Arabidopsis thaliana: one gene and its partners. The protein of the gene in region 3 interacts with the protein of the main gene of each other region in a pairwise test. Each region holds a gene or a part of one and is shown on either strand. Other genes may lie near its edges. The genes, in order: AT5G13400, CHX6A, SPIK and PTR1.

The links.
Region 1: the proteins of SPIK (region 3) and AT5G13400 interact in a protein complementation assay, tested with the Arabidopsis thaliana proteins (one large-scale study listed by BioGRID).
Region 2: the proteins of SPIK (region 3) and CHX6A interact in a protein complementation assay, tested with the Arabidopsis thaliana proteins (one large-scale study listed by BioGRID).
Region 4: the proteins of SPIK (region 3) and PTR1 interact in a protein complementation assay, tested with the Arabidopsis thaliana proteins (one large-scale study listed by BioGRID).

The regions. Positions count from the first base shown.
Region 1 is NC_003076.8:4,296,175-4,300,939, forward strand, and holds AT5G13400 (Major facilitator superfamily protein), read right to left. Parts: upstream 3,091-4,765; 5' UTR 2,906-3,090; coding exon 2,680-2,905; intron 2,593-2,679; coding exon 2,375-2,592; intron 2,198-2,374; coding exon 1,617-2,197; intron 1,530-1,616; coding exon 680-1,529; 3' UTR 514-679; downstream 1-513. Other genes in the region: NEF1 (no exine formation 1), read left to right, coding at 1-398; AT5G13410 (FKBP-like peptidyl-prolyl cis-trans isomerase family protein), read right to left, coding at 3,656-3,751, 3,831-3,906, 4,033-4,088, 4,209-4,253, 4,344-4,424, 4,601-4,651, 4,738-4,765.
Region 2 is NC_003070.9:2,551,404-2,557,239, forward strand, and holds CHX6A (cation/H+ exchanger 6A), read right to left. Parts: upstream 3,827-5,836; 5' UTR 3,672-3,826; coding exon 3,393-3,671; intron 3,298-3,392; coding exon 2,278-3,297; intron 2,184-2,277; coding exon 1,521-2,183; intron 1,298-1,520; coding exon 803-1,297; 3' UTR 532-802; downstream 1-531. Other genes in the region: CHX6B (cation/H+ exchanger 6B), read right to left, coding at 1-70; ATCHX5 (Cation/hydrogen exchanger family protein), read right to left, coding at 4,940-5,404, 5,504-5,836. UniProt on the Arabidopsis thaliana protein: May operate as a cation/H(+) antiporter.
Region 3 is NC_003071.7:10,892,484-10,899,204, reverse strand, and holds SPIK (Shaker pollen inward K+ channel), read right to left. Parts: upstream 4,953-6,721; 5' UTR 4,603-4,952; coding exon 4,361-4,602; intron 4,281-4,360; coding exon 3,915-4,280; intron 3,835-3,914; coding exon 3,777-3,834; intron 3,680-3,776; coding exon 3,362-3,679; intron 3,265-3,361; coding exon 3,019-3,264; intron 2,934-3,018; coding exon 2,835-2,933; intron 2,758-2,834; coding exon 2,725-2,757; intron 2,603-2,724; coding exon 2,417-2,602; intron 2,329-2,416; coding exon 2,134-2,328; intron 2,039-2,133; coding exon 1,963-2,038; intron 1,867-1,962; coding exon 1,294-1,866; intron 1,111-1,293; coding exon 836-1,110; 3' UTR 533-835; downstream 1-532. Other genes in the region: AT2G25590 (Plant Tudor-like protein), read right to left, coding at 5,433-5,646, 5,763-5,904, 5,989-6,040. UniProt on the Arabidopsis thaliana protein: Highly selective inward-rectifying potassium channel that could mediate potassium uptake in the pollen membrane. Plays an important role in pollen tube development.
Region 4 is NC_003074.8:20,045,081-20,050,735, reverse strand, and holds PTR1 (peptide transporter 1), read left to right. Parts: upstream 1-1,990; 5' UTR 1,991-2,288; intron 2,289-2,545; exon of another isoform or gene 2,546-2,577; 5' UTR 2,578-2,581; coding exon 2,582-2,687; intron 2,688-3,080; coding exon 3,081-3,298; intron 3,299-3,382; coding exon 3,383-3,936; intron 3,937-4,016; coding exon 4,017-4,851; 3' UTR 4,852-5,133; downstream 5,134-5,655. UniProt on the Arabidopsis thaliana protein: Peptide transporter. Mediates the transport of di- and tripeptides. High affinity transporter with low selectivity. No transport of amino acids.

The DNA of each region.
Region 1 (4,765 bases), on a different chromosome or scaffold from region 3:
GGTTTGGTGATAAACAGAGATACTTCCCGGTTACAGTAGCCATATCAACATATTTGGCATTATCCTCGCTCTACACTGTATGGGAAGAAGTTTGGTTTGGTGGAAACACAGGTTGGGGAGTCGAAATTGGAGGCCGTGAATGGTTTTTTGCGGTGAAGAACCTGGCTCTCCTAATACTCACAGCACCAGGTCACATCATATTCAACAGGTACGTTTGGAGTTACACCACCAAACACACAGACGCGTCGCCGATGCTGACCGTGCCACTTAGCTTTGCAGCCGTAATAATAACAGACGTGTTTCAAGTTAGGGTTCTGGGAGTTTTAGGCATTGTTTACTCTGCGGCTCAGTATGTGATATCTAGGCAACAATATATGAAAGGGCTGAGGTATATTTAGACAGTCGTAGGATTGATTAGTAATGTTTTCGACCCTTTTTGTAACAGAATTTGTGAAACAGTGTTTTCATTTCCCAGCTTTGTTTCTCAGTGGATGCATTGGAAATTGCCAATATACGACGTTTGAACAACTTAATTTTATTGGTCTTCTTACAAACGAACAATCACGTTTAGCGGATTTTCCACCCTTAAACATTAGCTATAGGAAAGCAAAGTAGGATGATACAATTACTGCTGTTTTATCAAAAAGAATAACGAGAAGAGAACACAGAAGTGGTGTCTTTAAAGAACAGCACTACTCTTGTCTTCCTCAGACTCGATAGCTCGGTACTTGTACCTATGCGCTGACCAAAGGAACACACAGAAATTCAAAAAGCTCAGAAGTGTGAGCAACCAGTACAAGCAGTCGAATCTCCCCGTGTTTATGTTCTGCGATAACCACGATTTCCCATCTGAGTCCCGAGTCGCAGCCTTGACAATATTGTTCAAAATGGTGGCAGCAAAACACCCTAACCCGCCGGCTAGAGCAGCGTAAGCCGAACCAATACTCTTCATAGCATCCGGAGCTTCCTCGTAAAGGAACTCCAATAGCCCTACTATGCAGAAAACCTCTGCGATTCCGATGAGACAGTACTGGATTAACAACCAGTACGCGGTTAGATCAGGCATTTGGGTCAAGAAGTTGAACTCAAAACCATTTTGTATCGCGTAATGTCTCCTGTAGTTCTCGAATAGCCCAGCCCAAGCTACTGATATGATTGAAACTGCTAGCCCTATGCCCACTCTTTGAAGCTGGGAAGCACCATGAGGATTGCCAGTGATTCTTCTGGTGATAGGGACGAAGACAGAGTAATAAAGGGAGAGAATGAGGAAAATGCTTAGGCCTGGGAAAACTGGCATGCAGGTCACTGGAAGCTTGAGGTGTTGAATGTGTGTGTTGAGTGTGTAAGCTTGTTGCACTGAGAGTGTAAGATACTCAGTCAAGACCAGACTCAGCATTATAGTGCATGTTGGGATTGGAATCAATCTGATCAGAATCTTCACTTCCTCTACTTGTGTTACTGTGCATAGCTTCCATGGAGATGGTTCCAATCCATCTTCTTTCAACTCAAGTGCCGCCTTGTCTAGCCATCTGCATATGAATTCATTCGACTGATAAATACTAGTATTAAGTTTTATTTTCCTTATAGGAAGATGTACACAAAAGAAGAAGCCTTACATGAAATCATTGGAATGAGGGATTTTACGACTGCCATTAATAGCAGATTTCAAGCCAGGAACTTCGTAAAGACCGATGAACTCACTGCTTGTGAAAGCTGCATTTCGTTTGCGGAAAGCGGCAACTAAGACCTGAGCTACCCTAGTCAAGGGACTACCACCAGGCAACCTATGCCGATAAAGCGGTGTACCAGCAAAGAACAAAGCATTAGAAATCCCCATGGCTACGGCCAATGTGCCAAAAGCCATACCCCAACCAAGTTCCATTTGAACATATACCACCAAAGTGAAGGCAATGATTGCGCCTAAAGTGACCGATAGATAGAAGAAGTTGAAGAAACGGTCTAAATGTGTCTTGTAGTCTTTGCTCTTCTCATCAAACTGGTCAGCACCAAATGAGGAAACACATGGCCTTATACCAGCAGCTCCGAATCCGGTTATGTAGAGAACCGTGTAGAGATAAAGCATTTGCCAAGATTTGGCTTCTTCACAATTTCCTAAGAGCAATGATAACTGGCCACAGTTGCTCTGGTCTGGTACGAACATCTTCAAACTTGCCCCCAATGTTATTCCTATCAAACCCTTTTCACATGCAAAACAAAAGAAAAGAAAAGATTTCAAAGTATCCATCACATAACATATGTTCGGTCTTGCGTATTAGACGATGTTCTTCAAATTGCACCATTTGCACAAGACCTTAACCATAAGTCATAAATAAATAAATAAACAAAATACAGAGAACAAAACAGTACTACTTACGACAAGATACATGGTAGTGAAGATGGCAATAGTCCAGTATCGACCCAAGTAAGCGTCGGCTAAGAAGCCTCCAAGAACAGAGGAGGCTTGAGAGATGCCAAGGAAGTTGTTGACTGCGTTTGATGAACTTTCAAAAGGCCTATGCATTACGTAGAACATGAACGCCACCATGTTCACCGAGAGTCCGAAATACGCCATTCTCTCTGCCATTTCATTTCCTAAAACATTGCAACCATTCCACCAAAACTAAGCTGCACTGCACGTAGAACTACTGATAATCTAGATGTAAGTGAAAAGAAAGTTACCAAAAATGAAGAAAGCTGCGATCCAACCACCGGTTTTGGAAAGATTGGCGATGGGTTTGCCATGGATGTTAACGGGAGTGGTTCCTCCGGTATAGCCACGGCCAAGAGCAAGACGTCTGTTATCTGATTCTATGAAGAACACACTCAACTGCTTCCTATGATGCACAGAGGAGCTTCCCGGAGTCTCGGGGACACTCACCGGGGATTTAATCTCAGAAGCAACCATAATCAATGATATTTTCTCATAAAACCATGGAAACTGAAAGCATCAGAGTGACCAAAAACAGCAAGAGAGCTTAAGTTAATAAATGAAATAATTAATCCAGCCAAACAAAATCTGTAAGCAGAAAAGGATGTATGAGGATTGGTTAGAGAAATGTATAAATGCAGTAGCTTAAAATGGGAAGATGGAATTAAATAGACGGAGCTTAGCTGGTAAGTGGTAGATATAGGACTGGCATTTATTGCACGTGGACTCCCATGATGTCCACAGTTTCAACGTTCAAGAAAGGACTTATTTAGAGAAATGTGGATTCATTTGATATGTTTTGTCCTTGAAAGACATAAACTCATTGAAGGACTTCTACAATGCGTCACTGCAACTTGTTCTTTTATTTTTGCAGTCTCCATTAATGATGACTCTGACATTGAACCAACATTGGCTACTCAATAAAGTCAAAACAACAGAAGCTGCTTACACTGGTTTTTGTGTTCACATTTCATTTTATTCTAAACTTTCTATGAAATGTTATAATAACTTACCTCACTATAAGGGATAATATAACTAAAAAGAGGAAGCAGAATTAACATGATGAACAGTTAGTTGGTGATGCATGGCTATTTTTTTTTTTAACACTCCTAAAAAGAGCTAACATTATATGATATAAACTGAGCTCAATTTACACAAATGTGCCAATGTAGTATACACATCATAAATAAATATATATGTACGTGAGTTAAGACTGTCGATGTTACATCAATTGGGTACAATTTTGAGGAGTTCAACATCAAAGAGAAGTGTCTTGTCTATGAGCCCTTGGTTCCTCAGCACAAAATCTAATGCACGTTGTCCCTGCGCAAACATAAAGAGACAACATTTAAAACTTATGTCTTTCTTATACATGTTTACATAAAACAAACATAAGGCTCACAGAGAAAGTCATCGGCCTCGGCCCACTCTTGTTGTAGTCATTATCCGGGTATCCTAGTTCTGGCGGTACAATTATCCTGCAATACCAAGCTAATTATTTACACTGATTCATTCTACCGTCTACCATTTGTGTGAAGAGTGAGTTCTATATGAAAAACATATGGAGGATGTGTAGAGTTAGAAATATTAGAAAGATGTTGAACCTTCTGATACCACCGAGAGCCATCCCAGAGACAGCCTCCTCAAAAGCAGGTATCACCTGGAACACCAAAATCATGCAGCATCCAGAAAGAAACAATTCATACAATCAGTAACAAAATCCATTCTTTAAACCGGTAAAACCCATATAGCAACTAGAAGGACTTGGAATTTCGCCCACCTCATTGGATCCTAAGGTAAATTTGAAAAATTCCTTATCATCGCCCTACAGATTCACAAAAAGAAAACAAAGATTAAGGACTGTATCATTGTAGCTAATGAAACAAAAAAAAAAAGAGCCAAAACGTGTTTATACCTCAAAAGAACCCCCTTTTGTTTTATTGCGAGCTTCAAATATGCGTCCATAGTACCCTATTGTGTAACCGTCCCAGTCAACCTAACATACCCAGCTTCAATTATTTATAACTACTAGCAAAACCTATGGTCTTTGAAACATTAATTTGCTAACATAGATACAAGCAAAGCAAACTCCAAACTCTCTAACCAGAGCAAACTTCTAGATAAACTTGAGACCAAGGATACAAAACCATAGATATGCAGAAATTTCCTTACCACAACTTTGTCTCCCTTTTTTGCTATAGGCCCAGTTCCTACTCGCAAATCCTGCAGCATCTCAAATCTTCAAGTTAATGATCACCGCATAGTCTAAACTATATTAGATATAAGATATGGGACTAATGAGGGGTGACCTTATACTGAAGACCAGACTGTGTTTCT
Region 2 (5,836 bases), on a different chromosome or scaffold from region 3:
CCATCTCTGCTCTTTTCTCATCGTTGTTCCACATGAACTCTTTGCGCCAAGTCGCATTTTCTGCATCCATTTGGGACAAATCTTGTCTACGTAAAACCAAAAAGAACAAAAAAAAAAATTGACAATGAAAAGATTTTGCAGTCAAAAAAAGAACTAAAATTAAAACCGGTCTGATGGTTTCACACAGATCCCAAAGGATCTCTAAAATTAGGATAAGGGTATAAATATAGGGATTGTCTCGTCCAGGTGTTGTCTTTGTTTTTGGCGCTTGTAAGTTGTATTACTTTAAAATAAAATGACCTCTTTAGGCAGTCTAAATAAACGCTTTACCCATTTTTAATAAGATGATCCATTAATTAAGACCTCAAATTCAATCTTTTATCAAAGGGAACAGAGCAGAGTACTCTGTTAGGTACCAAAATCTCTTTTTGTTGAGAAAAACAGAGTATTTTGCTCTGTTCCCTCTGATATCTCTAACACATACTAAACTTAATTATAACGTGACAAAGTGTGTATGTTAAACAGACCCTGTTACTACAAGAGAATATATATTTTTGAATTGTGATAACAAAGGCAGCTATAGTTGGAAGGCGTTATCATAGAGCAGGCACTGCCACAAGAAATTACTCTAATCTTGTTAACTCAAAATTTGATTAAAAAAATCGTGAAGTTTATATCATCATATCCAGAAGAAACTCGAATCAATTACTCCATAACTTCAAGCAGCCTAAAACTAATGTTTATTGATGTAGAGAAATACAACATTGAAAAGCTGAGCATTGAACATATCTCGCATTATTTCTTAGAAAGATTTTCTCCTTTGGCTTTTTGTATGATGAATGTACACTTGTTTTTGAACAACCAACACTGATGCACTTGAAGGATATTCATGTGATGCTAATAAATCTCCAATAGGTCCCAATTCATTGAACTCTGTCCATTCACTAATTCCGCTAGTAGCCTCAGTTCCTATTCCGCTGCCGCTTCCAACGATAAACAAGTCATAATCATTTGCCATTGCTCGTAAGATTCTTGAGGTCTCAGATCCATCAGAAACCGCCTTATCGATATATGTCACCTTGGCATCATTTTCTTTGATGTTGGACCCAACGATGCTAGTCACGGACTCCTTTAGGTTAATCGATTGCTGTTGCTCCCACTCATCGTTATCCATTTCAGAAGATTTTGGAATGAATCTTATGATCGTTAGCCTTGTTCGTTTTTCTGTCAGTCTCATTCGATTTGTTATCGCCAAAGCTTCTCTATCGTCTTTTCCACCGTTAAAAATCAAACATATCTGCAAAGATGAGAGTTTTATCAGGTTAAAAATGCTAATATATTAGTACCATTTCTTTTGTTCATCATAAATGGTAAAGGAAAATGAAAAGATTTTCTTTCAGCATTTAATTTCATTTAGACGTTGCAAAAATATTCTTTTAGATTTTATAAAATTCTGAAATTTGTATTTTCACGTACCCAAACGGATAATTAATTAGTTTTCAAAATAAAATGAAAAGCACCTTGCTGTGGGACTTAGCCATATGAGATTCAACGATGGGCTTGCGATAGACGAAGATTCCAACAGAGCATGGGGCTCGTCTCAGGACGTTAACGTTGAGCATTCTCAGATTATCATCGTTGGAGATAACCGTGGATCGATCAACGGACCAGGTTCGGTGGAAAGGAAGCACAATCAAAGATAGGCTTCTGGATAGGGCTAGCCAACAAATGTCCTCATGCATGTGTTGGGACACGGAGACGGAAGTGAAAATATCCAACGATGTGTATTCAAAGAATTGTCTTTGGAAGCCACGGAAGGAGATTATGACATTGTCAGACAGAGAAGTACTTCCGGGCTCTGGTTTTTGCAACTGGTGGGAAATGAACATAGGATTGGCTTGACCCACAAGCTCGACGAGGTGAAGTATGTTACACGCCATTGGGGAATCTTGTGATGGGCTAAAAGTTTCCAAGAGGTCGGTCATGGAAGTTATGTGATCAGGTCTGTAGACGCACATAAGACATTGGAGAGCCGCACCGTCTTTCAAGATGCCCAAATTCCTTTTTCGGTAGCATCTGAATCTTTTGGTTGGGTCATGCACGAGCTCCAAGAGCATTGGTATAAAGATAGAGTTCAAGAGGGTGTAGGCAGCTAGGATTGTGAAAACCTCTGGCCTTATTAGCTGTGAAACATGTCCAAAGATTTGATTAATTTTTATGAAAATAAACTAATTCTTCTGACTTTAAATATATATAGAAGAGTTTAATTGTACGCACCTTTAATTCAACCGCGTACGTGTAGTAGGCGAGCTCGAAGATCCCCTTATTACTAAGCACAAGGGCTAAAGCAAAAGAGTCTCTCAAGGGCATTTTAAAAGCATACGCGGTTATGGTGGTAACAACGAATTTTGTGGTATTCACCAAAAGAATAAAGGAAATGACCTCATAGATTTGACCCTCCATCCGTATTAAATCTCCACTCTCTTTGAACAACCGTAAGAGATCTACTTGCATCATGGTTAATGATCCAAAGAGTGGCAAAATAGAGCCAAGATTAAAGCTCTCAAACTTTTGAATCAAAGTAGTACCTAAAGGATATCCATTTGGAACCGTCAAGCCGAAAACAAATGATCCCGCGGGTCCAAAAAGATGAATAACCTTGTTAAAAAAAGTGAAGCAGGCGAAAGCAATCCCAAAAATCGAGTAGAGGTAGAAATCCTTGACCGGCCTCCCTTCTGGAGTCTGCTTGATCACCCAATACATAGCCGGCCGCACAACGCATATCATAACGACGACAAAGAGGCAGAAACCTACGGTTTGCATGAAGCCGTACAATTTTTCGTAGTAGATTGCATTAAAAAATGTTACACCAAAAGCCAACATGTCAGTCACCATAGCCCCAGAGAGGGCTATCCTCCCAAACTCTGAGTGTTTGATCTGGAGGTCTTTTAGGAGTGTGTCGATGCTCGTGAACGCGGATATGCTTTGCAAGAATATGATCAACCTGTATTCCATCCTTAATATGCTTGAGTCCCCTCTTCGTTCTCTATATCTAAAAGTGAGGCTGCCACAAATCAAGGGTATAATTACTGTAATGAATCCGATCACACTAGACCTTTTCTCCGTCCTAAATGGCAATTCGGCATCCATGGTCACACCTTTGAGGAACCAATATAAAACGAAGCCGAAAGCCCCTAGGGTCTCGGCCACCTTTGGTCGGTTATCATCAGGGAAAAAAATGTCATGGATCCAAGACTTGTTGCTGAAATGGCAAGTTTGACCTAAAATTATCCCTGCCTTCAACAACAAGGCATTACAACGTTTAGGAATATGCACCGTACTGATTTTAAAATTTAAAACGTGGAGGGAAGAGGGAGATTAAGAAAACTCACGATCATCATATATGTGAATCTAGGTACTCGAAGACCAATTTTGTTGAATGAGATGTCGAGAAGCCGCCATATAAAAAAAGTAGAAAAGATTAAGATCTCGAGATTCGGGAGCGGATATTCCCAGAAGTTCATCCCTCTCTTGAAAGTCATAACCTCCCATATCCCGTGCGAATTTACTATGTGAGGGTGTGACTCGCAGAAGATAGACGAGTTCTTGTCTTCATTGAATTCTCCCCATGACACGTCCCAATAACTCATGTCTATCTCCTCTGTAGCCATTTTAAGGAGAAAGACAAAAGTTAACGAAGAGACTTGCTTAGGGATCAAGAAGATCTAATGGAATGATTTAGGGTTTGTAATTCGATTGGGAAAGAAGAAGACTAGGGATGGTTTTGTTATAAACGTTGACTAATTAAGGTCGAATAACCAGCAAACAACAGATACGCATCTCAGGTACAGTTAATATTTACCCATTTTGTTTTCTTTTTATAGCTTCATTCTTCTCCATCTCTTGTTCCTTGTCAACATTAGCACACGTATGATTGTACATCGTCTATTTCACCAATCAACAACGCCAAAGCTATACATATAACGATATATATTTAGGGAATTTTGCATCCACTTGCACACTTTCTCAGGGATATATATATTTTTGTTTTGACAATTTTTTCTATGTTTGGTGAAATAGGAACTTATACTTTAAAATCACCATACAAATTAAGTCATTCAAACAGCTAAGCATGCAAATTAAACCAAATAATATAGCAAAGGAAAATGGATACTAAAAGAGTCTTACTAATCAAGGCAGGGTAAGATAAATAACAATATAAACTAAAGAATATTGTACCTAGGTCAGGATACCAAATTACTCTCTTATAAAATTTCTCCAAATTCAAAATTACTAATTAATGCTTGAACCCTACGTATACGTAAAGCATAATCACAGGATTAAGATTCTTCCAAGTAGTTAGGCATTAAATATTCATTGGCTAGTCGTATTTGTGGTCTTAAGACTATAAAGAAATGAGAACAAGTGTAAATCACCTACAAACCATTTTGAACTCAATTCCTATTGGTTGGTAATAGATTCCTCTAAAGGTTTTAATTGGGTAATTTCATTGAATGTATACTACGTGCGTGAAATTCTCATCATTTTTAATGATCAAATTGGTGGCAAGTAGGTCTTTTAAGACTATATACTAATTTGCTATGTAATTTATTTGTCTAGTTTGCTTATTTTTGCCGTTTTTCTTTATTGTATAGCGAAAAGGAGATTAAAACTTGTAAAACATGTAAATAGATGTAACTCTCACATTGAATGTTAATTTAATTATAAAACATGTACTATTTTTTTCTGATTTCATTGTTTTTAAAAAATTATGTGGAATCAATTAAATTTAAAGTCATATTTGCAAATGTTATCATCACAAGGCCACGGAGACGAACTGTCACTTAAAAATTTGGGGCTACAAATGTGTCTCGTGTGAGAAGTGTATTTCTATTTTTTGTATCTTATAAATGAATAAAGAGTAGTTGCCAATGTAATATCATCTACAAGCTACATTCTGTTGTTGTTGCACCACCAACACCGACCCTCTACGGGGAAAATCTTGAGACACCAACAGATCTCCAATCACACCTAACTCATCAAACTCCGTCCACTCACTCAATGCACTCACCACGTCGGTCCCTACTCCGGCGCTCCTCCCCACCACGAATAAATCAAAAGAATTAGCAATCGAGAGAAGGAGTGTTGATGTGTCGGAACCGTCGTTAACTGTCTCCTCTACGTATTCCACAAAACTATGTTGTCCAACAGTATTGTTATTGTTCCTCAGAACCTCCTTAACCTCTGCCGAGTCCAGCATCTGATCCCACCCTGTAGTCATCCCATCCATTTTCGCTGGGATTAGCTTCAACACTGTCAGGTTCACATTCGGATTCCTCATCATTTGCCTTCCCAATGCCAAGGCTTCTCTGTCGTCTTTCCCGCCCACGAAAATTGCGCAGACCTGGTTTTAGACAAATCAAGTTTCACACGTAAACACAAATTCAAGCACGGAAACTAATGATTAGCGTATGGAACAATCAAACCTTCAAATATGTGTTACCTCAAAAGACGGACTGCTCTTTTGCGCAGATAAAAGCTTTTGACGATGGACAAAGATCCCCACGGAGCAAGGTGCTTGTCTCAAGACATTTAAGTTAGCGTTCCTACGCATGACATCGTCTGAGACCACCGTTGTCTGGTCAAGGGACCATATAATGTGGAAAGGGAGCATGAGAAAAGAAGCTTGTTTGTCGAGAGCGAGCGAGTAAATCTCTTGATGCATGTACCTAGGGTTTGAGATGCATGTGAACAATTCCAGCGATATCGATTTCCAGTAATGTTTGAAGTTATCAAAAGCGATTAGGACGTTGTTTGAATAAGACCGGTTTCCAGG
Region 3 (6,721 bases):
ATCAACCTTAAACCATTGTCTAATTTGACAAGGGTTTTAATTCAACTAGACATAAAATACAACTTCACCTCTTTAGGTTGATTGAGCAGATTGCGGATGTTTCGTATTGGTCAGAGAGATGGGAGCAGATTAAGCTCTCTAGAGTCTGATTCAAATATTACCTTCTTGCATTTGAAGCATGAAATAATAATAATATTATAGTGTGTGTTGTCTCTAACTCTATCTCAATCATTGTGCTCATTTTCGGTAATGCTTTGGCTCCCAAGTCCCATCAATATCACTTTACCATCATGGATCTAAACAAAAATGAAAGATGAGATGATAATTCATCTCAGAAATAGGATAAGTCACCTAGAGAGGATTTAAGCTTGATTGGAAAAGATGAGTGAGGAGTTACTCTCAAATCTCGACCTCGCACAAAAGTTATAAATTTTAACACTTGCTTCTTCTTAGAGACTTAGAGAAGAAGATTGTCTAGACGTTTAAGAAAGGACCTTTATCCTTGTATGCTTTCTGAAAAAAACAAGATTGTTTCCATACTTCTTGTAGATTTCGATGTTAATATCATGAGGTTGTTAGAGAGTTCTTTTAACAGAAAATAGTCAACAGGATATATATATATATACATGTGAAAAATAGTAAGCAGTGAATATATACACAAAAGCAAAAAAAAAAAACCTAAAAGATATTTCAATCCCGGAGTTGATTGGGGCTTACGGTTTCCCCTAATATTAGCATCATATCACCACCATAAAGCTTGACTGTGGTGGTTTGCGAGTTTGCGTTAAGACAAATAGTTTTCATTACTCAAAATCGAAAGAGAGTTGCGTGTGAATCAAGGATCCCTTGATAGAAGGAGAAAATCGCCATCTCTGATAAGAGTGATGTCGTCAATTTCAGCTCCTTCTCTCGTAAGTACTTTAGTTGGGACGAATCCCATCTTATTTTCACCAATTTTCAATAGCTCTTCCATAGAATTTGGTAACAAAACAACTTTTCCACCAGTTTCACCGTTTTCCGGCGAACTTATCGTCACTCTCTCCGGATAAATCATACTACCTCCTCCTCCAGGAACCGCTGGACTTCTTGGAACTTCTCCTCCATCATCAGCTGGAAAAAAACCAGAAATGAAAACCAAATTTGTAAATTTGTAAGGAACAGAACAATGTAATGAACGTTGTGAATTGTATATAAGAATGACTATTGTGATGTGAAAAGTTCTGAAAATTATGGTTACGTGACAAGAAAGCAACGAGTATCTAGAGAGCAGATGGAGAGGTGAGGTGGTTTTACCGCTATTTGCAGCTGAAATGATTCCGAAGAGCGAGTTTCTGAAGTTATTGAGTTTCCGTTTCTGAGAAACAACAACCTGACCCCCGTCTAAGACGAGTTCTCCTGAATGCATTGTAGGCTCACTGCTATACTTCATTAATGGCTTCCCTGTCACAGGACTCTGAGGTATTCCAGGGATAGGTTTCGGTTTTTTCTCCACAGGCCTGTGATTATGAAACAAGGTTTTGATTTCTTCATTCCCTTGATGATCGGCAAGACCACGAGGAGTCCATCCGTAAGAATCCGGCCAGTCCAAGTCAGCACCTTGGTCTAGTAAGAACTTCACAATCTCCAAGTGTCCTTCTGACACTGCTCTGTGTAAAGCTGTGGTTCCGTTTCCATCAGGGAGTGTGACGTCGCCGCCATATTTGATGATGTCTTTGAGTGCGTCTAAGCAGTTTTTCTCCACGGCTAAGCCAGAGAAATAGCTCACTGAGTCTAAGCTTAGCTTTGCTCCATTCTCTGCAAGGAGTTTAGCAATTTCTCTATGTCTTCCTATGATTGCTTCCCACAAGGGTACATTGCCTTCGGAATCTGTAAACAATGTACGAGCCACCGATAATTTAGTACTACATGATCCTATCATCCTAAGCTAATTGACCTAGTGAAACATTATTTTTTACTACTTACCTCTAATGTTAGGATCTGCTCCATGTTCGAGAAGTAAAACGACGCAATAATGGCTTCCCTTTGATGCTGCTATATGCTGAGATATTCAAAGAAGAAACATAGAGAGTGAGCAAATTTGGTTTAGGCATTAAAAGGAGGATGATGGTATATACAAAGGAAATCCGGGCTTACCAGCGCAGTTCGCCCGTCCTTATCCATTTCATTAGGGCTTGAGCCTCGTCTTAGTAACTGATGCAGCAATAAATCATCTCCTCTGGCTGCAGCAAAGCACAAGCTGAGAGGTAAATCCATTTTCCCTTGAGCCAACATGTGTTCTGTATCAGCCAAAACGCCTTTCATCACTGGATCTTCTGAGTCTTTTAAATGCTGCATGAACCACAACATATCTGTTATGGAACTGGTCCTGTGTGTCAACAGGTTGAAACAAACTGTACTATTCAGAGTTATTACAAACCTGAAGAAGATTATTCATGATTATTGCTCCATCTCCTACATTTGCCTGAACAAGATTTAAGAGTACTGTACGGTTCAGACGAAGCAACTGACTCAATCGCTTGGTACGAACAGTAAACAGCTGCGGTCTGTAACATAGTACCCCAACTTCACCAAAAACATGTCCTCTCTGTGCTTCACTAACTACCTGTAAAGAAACACATACACAAAAACATTATCAAATATGTTTTGGTTCTCCAATTGCAACAAAGTTAAAGAAGAACACAATCATATCTTAAAAAGAAACGGTATAATAAAAGCTAGACTTGCCTGCTCCACTCCATTTACACGTGCAATTATGTCCTGAATGACATAGGAATGTGTCAGGAATAATACATGATGATAAAGGAATGTGTCAGGAATGTACGAAAAACACTTACAACAGCTCCGGTCACCAATATGTAGAAATCTGTTGGGGCTTCATTTTGCAAAATCACATCTTCTTTGGGAGGAAAATACTCTGCTTTCATTTCCGTGACCTACAGGACACCGTAAGTTAAGACTTAATGTGAATAAAGTGACCACTTTTAGCATGCAGGACTTCTTGCGTTATGGGAAACATACCAACTGGAAAAGAAGATCATTGGATATTCCATGGAACAAGTAAATTTTGTCAACAACTTCATAGAACAGATAATGTGATATGCTGGACCGAATAGCTTTGGGAAGAGAATCGATTATTTCTTGCTGCTGTAAGCCTTCTGAATCAGTTCTGTACCTCAAACACAAATGAGCAACCATCTGATCTTGTAACCGCACTGGCAGATTGTTCCTCTGACCAAACCCTGATGCGGCTTGGATGGTATCTCTCTAAAATAATGCAAATGCTTAAGACTCATGAAACTTCACTGAGACCAGACTAATTTTCAGAGAAGTGCAGTTAACAGTACCGGTACATAGAACTTACAAATTTTCTGGTGCGGCCGGTCACATGAACCACCAAGTTGGTCATATTACCAATTATATATGCTGACAGTCCAAGATTAAAAACCATGTAGAAAAGAATGAAAGTCATCTCTCTTGAGTTAACACCATGTATATCACCATAACCAGTTGTGGAGAAAGTAGTTATGGACCAATACATTGCCGTGTTATACCGCACTGCAATAGGAGACTCTTTCCAATTTTCATCGGTTAATGCCATAAACGTCTTGGATGGATCTGGATAATGTGCAGCAATGGAATAGAGGAAACAAGCACCACAATGAATCACAAAAAGAGTAACCTGCATTACCAAATCAAATACTGTAAATTCACAGCTAAAAAACTGTTCATTTGAAACCAAAAAGAGTGTAAAAAACAAGTAGACAATAGCTACTTACAAGGAGAAGCTTCGAGCAGCGAACCCAAAAGTAACTGTATTTCCTGTCTTTCTCTAACCTGAAAAGAAGACATCAATATTATACTCAGCTGGAATTTAAACGTTTTGGCTGGAACGATAAACCGGCCAAAGAACTCACCTGGCAAAACAATTACTGACCCTACGAAGACGCCATAAACGTAGCATACTGAAAATACCATATCCCTGAATACTCTCATGAAGCAAGCTCCCAAAAATTTCGTAAGGAAATGTGGAAACCACGTCGAAAATCAGCCAAGTCGACGCATATCTCCAAGCTATTCTCTTTGGATCATCGACAAGAAGATAAGTTACCTTGTCCAAGAAGGCAACAAAGAATGTCAAGACTATATCAACAGCGAAAAACCCGTTGACAATGTTATCGAGAATACTGAGAGGTGGTCTTGGCTTTTGCAGAAACCCAAATTCAAAAGGTGATGCCCAAGCTGTGTAGAGCACCAAAAACACCAAAAACGTCTCCCACGCTCTGAAAAATAATGTTTTACCTCAGCTAAACCCTAATTTAGCGATTAGATTAAAACAGAGTCAAAATTTGAAAAAACGGACCTGTAACGAGGATCAAAAGGAGAGACGATGAAGCGAGGGAGAATGACGTCACGAGAGGAACGATTGTTGGCTCCAAGAGAAGGAAGAAGGCCTTTGCTAAGGCTATACTGACTCATCGTCCCGTCGCGAGATAAATGGTCAGCAACATCATCCTCCGCATCTTTGGTTCTTCCTCCTCCTCTGCCTCCGCCTCCTTCGCCGTCGTCTTTCACACCCCAAAACCATACCTTCTTCTTCTCCATGCTTCAGATCCCTCTCTCTTTCTTTTTCCAAAATCAAAATCCCTTGCGGATAAACACGCAAGGTTTTTTTTTTTTTTTCTCCGAATTCGCCGGTTTCGAATTTCCTTTTATATCCTTTTTTCTGTTACGTTTGTTTCTTTCTTTTTTGTTGTGGGCCCCAACAGGTAACTATTTTCCCTCCTTTTTCTGCTTTTGTAGCCACAAAAATAGCAAGTATATTTCGGTTCATTGGTCTTTTAGTGCTCATAGAAACTTTCAAAATTAACAAATTGGCATGTTTTTTTCCGTTTTGCTCTGGGAACTGAATATTAACTATAGTTTTTTGGTTAATTAGGCTTTTGTTTGTCCCCCAAACATACTAATATTACCAATACTTAAAAACATCATACAAGTTTCTGTTGTTCAATAATTGGCAAAATTCAAATAGGAGGACTACAATCCAAAAACGCTTGGTAAATCGAGAAAGAAGGAGGAGGTTGGTTTATGCGCAAATTGGTATTTAGATAATCATTTCCTGGAATCAATCTACTCTGGTACTTGGAAAGCTTAATTGTGACAGTTTTGGTAACTGTGTTAGTTACATGTTTGCGTCTGTTGGCTTTGAATAAAATCAATAACGCAACCCAAGTAACTTTTTCTGCTACTGCTTTTCTGTTTGGTTTCTCTGATGCTTTTAAGTTGCAAAGGAATTTGATTTTATGAAGTTCTGGTGAAACTCAAGCTAGTGACATGTAGAAGCCACAAATCAACTTCAAGTCAAGAATAAAATAATATAAGTAAAACAGGTGGTTCCAAATAATGTCAATCTTACATAGAACACATTGAAAACATTATAAGTTAATGCAGATCATAATGTTGTTCATAAGTTTTGTAACAACCATAAAATTTTGAATTAACATGAGTTCTAAAGAATCAGAAATATTCAATTCGATTATTTTTCTTAGTGTAGAGTATAAGCGAATATAAAACCGATAGTGATGGCATAAGAACATCGCAATTCGCAAGGCTTCTTCTTCCTCTCTGAGTCTTTTCAATTTCTTTAAGCTTGAGACATAGGGAAAAAGTTGGATTTGACAAGCGAGCAGCTAGACACGTTTGATTTATGCAGAGGTCTATACACACCGATCATAATATTTATGCTAACGTTTGAATCCCCGCACCTCGGTAATTCAGCTTGAAATGTCATAGCCTTGATTTCATAAAAATTGAGTACTTTTCTGTAGATTTTGATGACCAGGCCAACTGTACATATACCACCAACAAACAAGCATGGACAGTTCCACAATCTACTGGTCACATTTGCTGAAAGAGTAAAAGTATTCCACACAACCTCAATACTGTCTCAGATAGACACAGTTCATAAAGAACTTTCAACCTAATACTTACCAATCGTCGGCAAACTTATCCAACCTGCAGACTGTAAATGATTATCCTTCGGCTAGGAACAGTTCACAGCCTGTGTAAAGAGGGTATATATATCCAAGAACACCTGAAACAGATCAGTTATGTACAGCCAAAAAGAAAACACAGCACAATTTAAATTATGAATTTTGAGGAAGAAGGGGCATTGTGTTTTGCACCATTCAGTTAACCTCATGCATCAGAGTAAGATCTCTAGAAGCAAGCAAGATCTGCAGTCACCCAACATGGCTACAGTTTTCCTGAAAAATGTAAGGTAAGTTCAATAATCCATCACTGATGAGGAGAAGACAAATGACTCGACTTATCCAGAAGCTTAAACACAATAAACTAAAGTATATATATGAAGAAAAGACATGACTCATCTTAGAACACAGATACTGTAACTTTTGTTTAAGTTTAATCATCCGGAAAGTACAACAAAGAAAATTAGACTATAAGAAGAAAACATCACAATGAGGATTTGAAATTTTCAGTCAGAGTTATTTCCCTTCTGCTGTCTATACAATCATTTTAACAATCCTCCGGTAACAGAACAATATACAACAGTTGATTCCACATTGCAGGGAAGTATGGCCAACACCTGAAGATAAGACTGTCAAGGATCAAAAAGATATAATAGATACTAACAAAATTAACTGTGGGTACCGGCAGACTTGAGATTTCTTAGCTCCATCAAATGTTCATCATTTGATATATT
Region 4 (5,655 bases), on a different chromosome or scaffold from region 3:
GTATTAAAGCCGTTGGTTTTTGTACAACTGAGTAATAAAGTTCATGTTGAGTATGTCAATTATTGGATTTGGGAGTTCCAAAGAAAATTTTGAAGACTTTATGTAAAATGGAAACATCTGGTGGCGAAAAGAAATGAAAATTGGAGTTTCCATTCACCATACACAAAACAAAAAAAAAAAAAAAAAAAAAAAAAGCCTAGATGTAACCTTTCTTTAGCGGTCATAATATAATGTTTTCGTGGATGTGAATTCTTGACGCCCAAAAATAAGGAATTTTTAATTCATTTATCTAACCTTTTGATAAAATAAAATAAAACTACACGCTTATTTCAGGTTTGATCTGTTGTGAGATTAGTTACAACTTTTTAAAAAGTTAATGGCAAACAAAGTTGTCGTCGATAGTGATGATACCTAGATTACCTTTTAGCTTTTCTTTCTAGAGAGTTATCTTCCCAAACAGCTCTCAAGTATACGTTTTAGCTAGCTTAGAGAATTGATCTTAATTTCAGAAAGAAAAAAAAAAAAGAATGCTTTGAATTGAAGCACAAATTGGTTTTTCTTAATTGGATTTGAAGAATCAATGGATTAGACTAGAATCAAAAGGTCAACTACTATGATTCCCGTGAAATAATAATCAAATATGAGTGATCCAAATTTCTATATAATTGCACATCATTGATTTGTGGATCTATCAAGTGTTATCTTTTACTTATATTTTCAGTTAGATCTGACAACAATTTTCGTACTTATTCTATTAAAGTTGGACCTCGCAACAACCTTTCATATCAACGTTGAAGTTTTATAGTTAATTATTAGTTCTTGATTTTAAAATGTGTCAAATGATATAATGATTAGTTCAAAGTTCAAACCACTGATCAAAGATTACTTACTCACGTTGCACAAAATCCACCTTGAAACATCATAGTCTCGATGTCACATCCCAACAACTAGTTAATGTTTTAACAAAAAAAACAAAAACTAGTTAGTGTACTTCAAAAGTATATATTGGTATAACTGATTAGACGAATATGTAAGAAAAGTTGACTACAAGAGTATGGAAGCCGTGGTAAGACTTCCAATGAAATAAAAGCAATCAAAGCACACTGTTTTTTACCTATTTTATTTATTTATTTATTTTGTTTGCAACTAAACGTCATCAATTTAAAAATTGTTAAATACATCAAATATGTTTTCTTTATAAATATCAAATTTGGTCAGATATATTTTCTTTTTCAAATTTAGCTTCATAAACATCAAATTTTACTTTTGGTTTTGTCTCTTTAGTTTGTTGGGCTTTTGGAGTAAAGAGTTCAAGTCCAACAACTAAGTCGATAAACAGCCAAATCCTCGTAGATAAACAGGATCCAGCTACATATGTCGATTCACATGCATCTTTTAATATTCGTCCTCGGTGAATCTTTAGATCAACGGTTACTTTATTACTAATTGTCATTAGCACCTCTTATTTTAGCATAACCAAATCAAACACCTTTAATTATCTTTCTAATATCACTACCCTAGTTTATATTTTAAGATCCACTGAGACCTTAAAGCTGAAACAATGTTTTTAATCGAGGGAGTGATTAGAGATTTAATCAAATGGATTTAGACTGAACCACCAAATTGAATATTGAATCTAGTGATGTTTTTGGCTTTATTTTCACATATCCAAAATCAAACATCAACCAAAACCAAATTTAATAAACCTAACTATTTTTTTTTTTCAAAATCGACAATCTGATATTTAGAGTATGAACACAAGTTTCAAATAAAAAAAGAAAGAGTATGAACTCAATTTTATAAGAAAACTCCAAATCATCTTATTGACCAAAGTGTTTGTATTCACACTTGTATCTTTCTTGTTTTGAGTAGGAGTTCTTTCTTGTTATCTTTCTGGTAATGTCAATTCCGTAATATCGGATAAAAAACAAAAAGAGTCCACTAAAGTTTTGGTGGATGATTAACACGTCCTTCGATATTGATCTATTTACACTTTGGAGTCAAAACAAGATAATATCAAAATCTGATAGCACAATAGGCCTTGCGGCTCTAACTGAAATATACAAAAACTCAAAGGGTTAAACTGCAAACATGAGAAGAAAAGTGAGCAACGCTCCTTTCTATTTCCTTGGATATAAAAGCTGTACGGGACCAGAGCTCTGCAAGTCTTTTTTATAAGCTCATGCTCATTATTACTCCGACAAGTGCCGTGTAATTCCTCGCCCTCGGCTACTCTTTTCTCTTCTTGCCTCTCGTCTCCGCCGCTGATTCAGCTGCCGCCGACAAAGGTTTCTCCCTTTTTTCTAAGTCTTTTATGAGTTTTCCTTTCGTTACAAGTTACAACCATAACCTCATCTGGTCACACATAAACTATAATTTCAGAGCATGAAAATTTCGTACTTGCTTGCTTCATCTGCATATTTCGATCTAAGCATCTACTAGTCAATTTCTTTCACGTATATTTTTAAGGGTTTTCTCATAACCTTATACCTGAAGTATGGATCTCTAAATTGGGGATCTTTAGGTATGTGTTTGGTACATCTTTCTTGAAAAAGCTAAACTATTTTTCTTTATTAGGAATATGGAAGAAAAAGATGTGTATACGCAAGATGGAACTGTTGATATTCACAAAAATCCTGCAAACAAGGAGAAAACCGGAAATTGGAAAGCTTGCCGCTTCATTCTCGGTAACGTTCTAATCGTTTCACCAATCTTTTTCTTCATTATTGCCGTATAGGACCTGGACCAGCTTAAGTAATGGCCTCTCGTGTCCCCTGTTTTTTAAGGTCCACTAAAAACATTTACATGTAAATAATAAATGTAATGATTAAAAAGAGATTATATACGATTAAAAGCAAATTGAATGATAGAGAACAAATAAAATTTAAAATATTATTGGAAATGTTTAGTTTTGTAGGGTGATCACTATGAAAAAAGAGTTATAAACCTAAAATCTGCTCTGTTTTCTTCAAAAAAATTGTCTAAATAAAGAAAGGGCCATTATATTTTTTTATTATATAGCTTGGGCCCTGATTGGATCTATCCATATAAGATTAACCAGTTTTATGTGTTTTGTGTAGGAAATGAGTGCTGTGAAAGATTGGCCTACTATGGCATGGGCACTAACCTTGTGAATTATCTTGAGAGCCGTCTGAATCAAGGCAATGCTACGGCTGCAAATAACGTCACGAATTGGTCTGGAACATGTTATATAACTCCTTTGATTGGAGCCTTTATAGCTGATGCTTACCTTGGACGATATTGGACTATTGCAACTTTTGTTTTCATCTATGTCTCCGTGAGTTTTACTTGTTTCTTATCTTTTGGTTAAAAATGTGAATCTTTTGGTTAAAACTAATTAAGTTTGTTTTTTCTCTTGAAGGGTATGACTCTTTTGACATTATCAGCTTCAGTTCCTGGACTTAAACCAGGTAACTGCAATGCTGATACTTGTCATCCAAATTCTAGTCAGACTGCTGTTTTCTTTGTCGCGCTTTATATGATTGCTCTTGGAACTGGCGGTATAAAGCCGTGTGTTTCGTCCTTTGGAGCTGATCAGTTTGATGAGAATGATGAGAATGAGAAGATCAAGAAAAGTTCTTTCTTCAACTGGTTTTACTTCTCCATTAATGTTGGAGCTCTCATTGCTGCAACTGTTCTCGTCTGGATACAAATGAATGTTGGTTGGGGATGGGGTTTCGGTGTTCCAACAGTCGCGATGGTTATCGCGGTTTGCTTTTTCTTCTTCGGAAGCCGTTTTTACAGACTTCAGAGACCTGGAGGGAGTCCACTTACTAGGATCTTTCAGGTTATAGTAGCGGCTTTTCGGAAGATAAGTGTTAAGGTTCCAGAGGACAAGTCTCTGCTCTTTGAAACTGCAGATGATGAGAGTAACATCAAAGGTAGCCGGAAACTTGTGCACACAGATAACTTAAAGTAAGAAACTAAAGTTTGAATCTTTATCCTAACTTCAAAAATACTCTGTTTTCAAATCTAAAGTTTTGAAAACATCTCAGGTTTTTTGACAAGGCAGCGGTTGAGAGTCAATCTGATAGCATCAAAGACGGGGAAGTCAATCCATGGAGACTATGTTCTGTTACTCAAGTTGAAGAACTTAAGTCAATAATCACACTTCTTCCAGTTTGGGCCACAGGAATAGTCTTCGCCACAGTGTACAGCCAAATGAGCACAATGTTTGTGTTACAAGGAAACACAATGGACCAACACATGGGAAAAAACTTTGAAATCCCATCAGCTTCACTCTCACTTTTCGACACTGTCAGTGTACTCTTCTGGACTCCTGTCTATGACCAGTTCATTATCCCGCTGGCAAGAAAGTTCACACGCAATGAACGAGGCTTCACTCAGCTTCAACGTATGGGTATAGGTCTTGTGGTCTCCATCTTTGCCATGATCACTGCAGGAGTCTTGGAGGTTGTCAGGCTTGATTATGTCAAAACTCACAATGCATATGACCAAAAACAGATCCATATGTCGATATTCTGGCAGATACCGCAGTATTTACTTATCGGTTGTGCAGAAGTTTTCACCTTTATAGGTCAGCTTGAGTTTTTCTATGATCAGGCTCCTGATGCCATGAGAAGTCTCTGCTCTGCTTTGTCGTTGACCACGGTTGCGTTGGGGAACTATTTGAGCACAGTTCTTGTGACGGTTGTGATGAAGATAACGAAGAAGAACGGTAAACCGGGTTGGATACCGGATAACTTGAACCGAGGCCATCTTGATTACTTTTTCTACTTGTTGGCAACTCTCAGTTTCCTCAACTTCTTAGTGTACCTCTGGATTTCAAAACGCTACAAATACAAGAAAGCTGTTGGTCGAGCACATTGATCAAGAAACTGGTGTGGAAGATATTTGGAGTTAACAGTATTTGTTTGAAAAGTGTTTTGCTTGTAAATGTTTTTTGTATGTGGTCTAGTTGTTGTTGGTGTGTTAGGTTTGTTTTGGTTTTGCTTATGTATTTCTGAATACTTCCAGTCTTCCACTTATATGTAAAAGGCTATTGGTAACTATTTTATGAGCTTTTTGCTTAAAGCTTTTTGACCGTCTGATAATATGTCCTCCTATATTTTGCCATTGCTCTTAAGAAACTTATTATATACATTGGAAGTTATAAGCAATAAGCTGGGAAATAAAATCAAAAACTAAACAACAGCATGGGAAATCTTAACAAAAAGCAAAGCACATAGGATCCTATTGTCAATACATATGTAAACTTACTACTAGACATTAAACAAAGAGATCAAGTATTTTCTTCTGTTTCTTTGAAGATGTCTTTACTTTTGACTATATATCTGAACTGTTTGGAAAATGCTCAAGATCAGGATGCATAAGGAAGCCCCCTTGGCTTCTTGGAGGTTGTCTAACAAGATTGAGACAAGCAAGCGTCAAAAACAGATTTTGATTCTGGGGTTTATTTGTTCAGTAAAACCCATGGTTTATATATATATAGTCAGAAACAAGCTTTTTATTGAGCTCAACTATATGCACATAGAAAAAGAGAAAGTTTTTTTGTCATTTTACGAATGTGGTGGTGCGATGAAGCCAGGTTTGGTCACTAAATGAGCGGAAGCGGAAATAGCCAGCAGGACTATCTGGAAATGAAACCAAACCTAATCATTTAACAAAGTATAA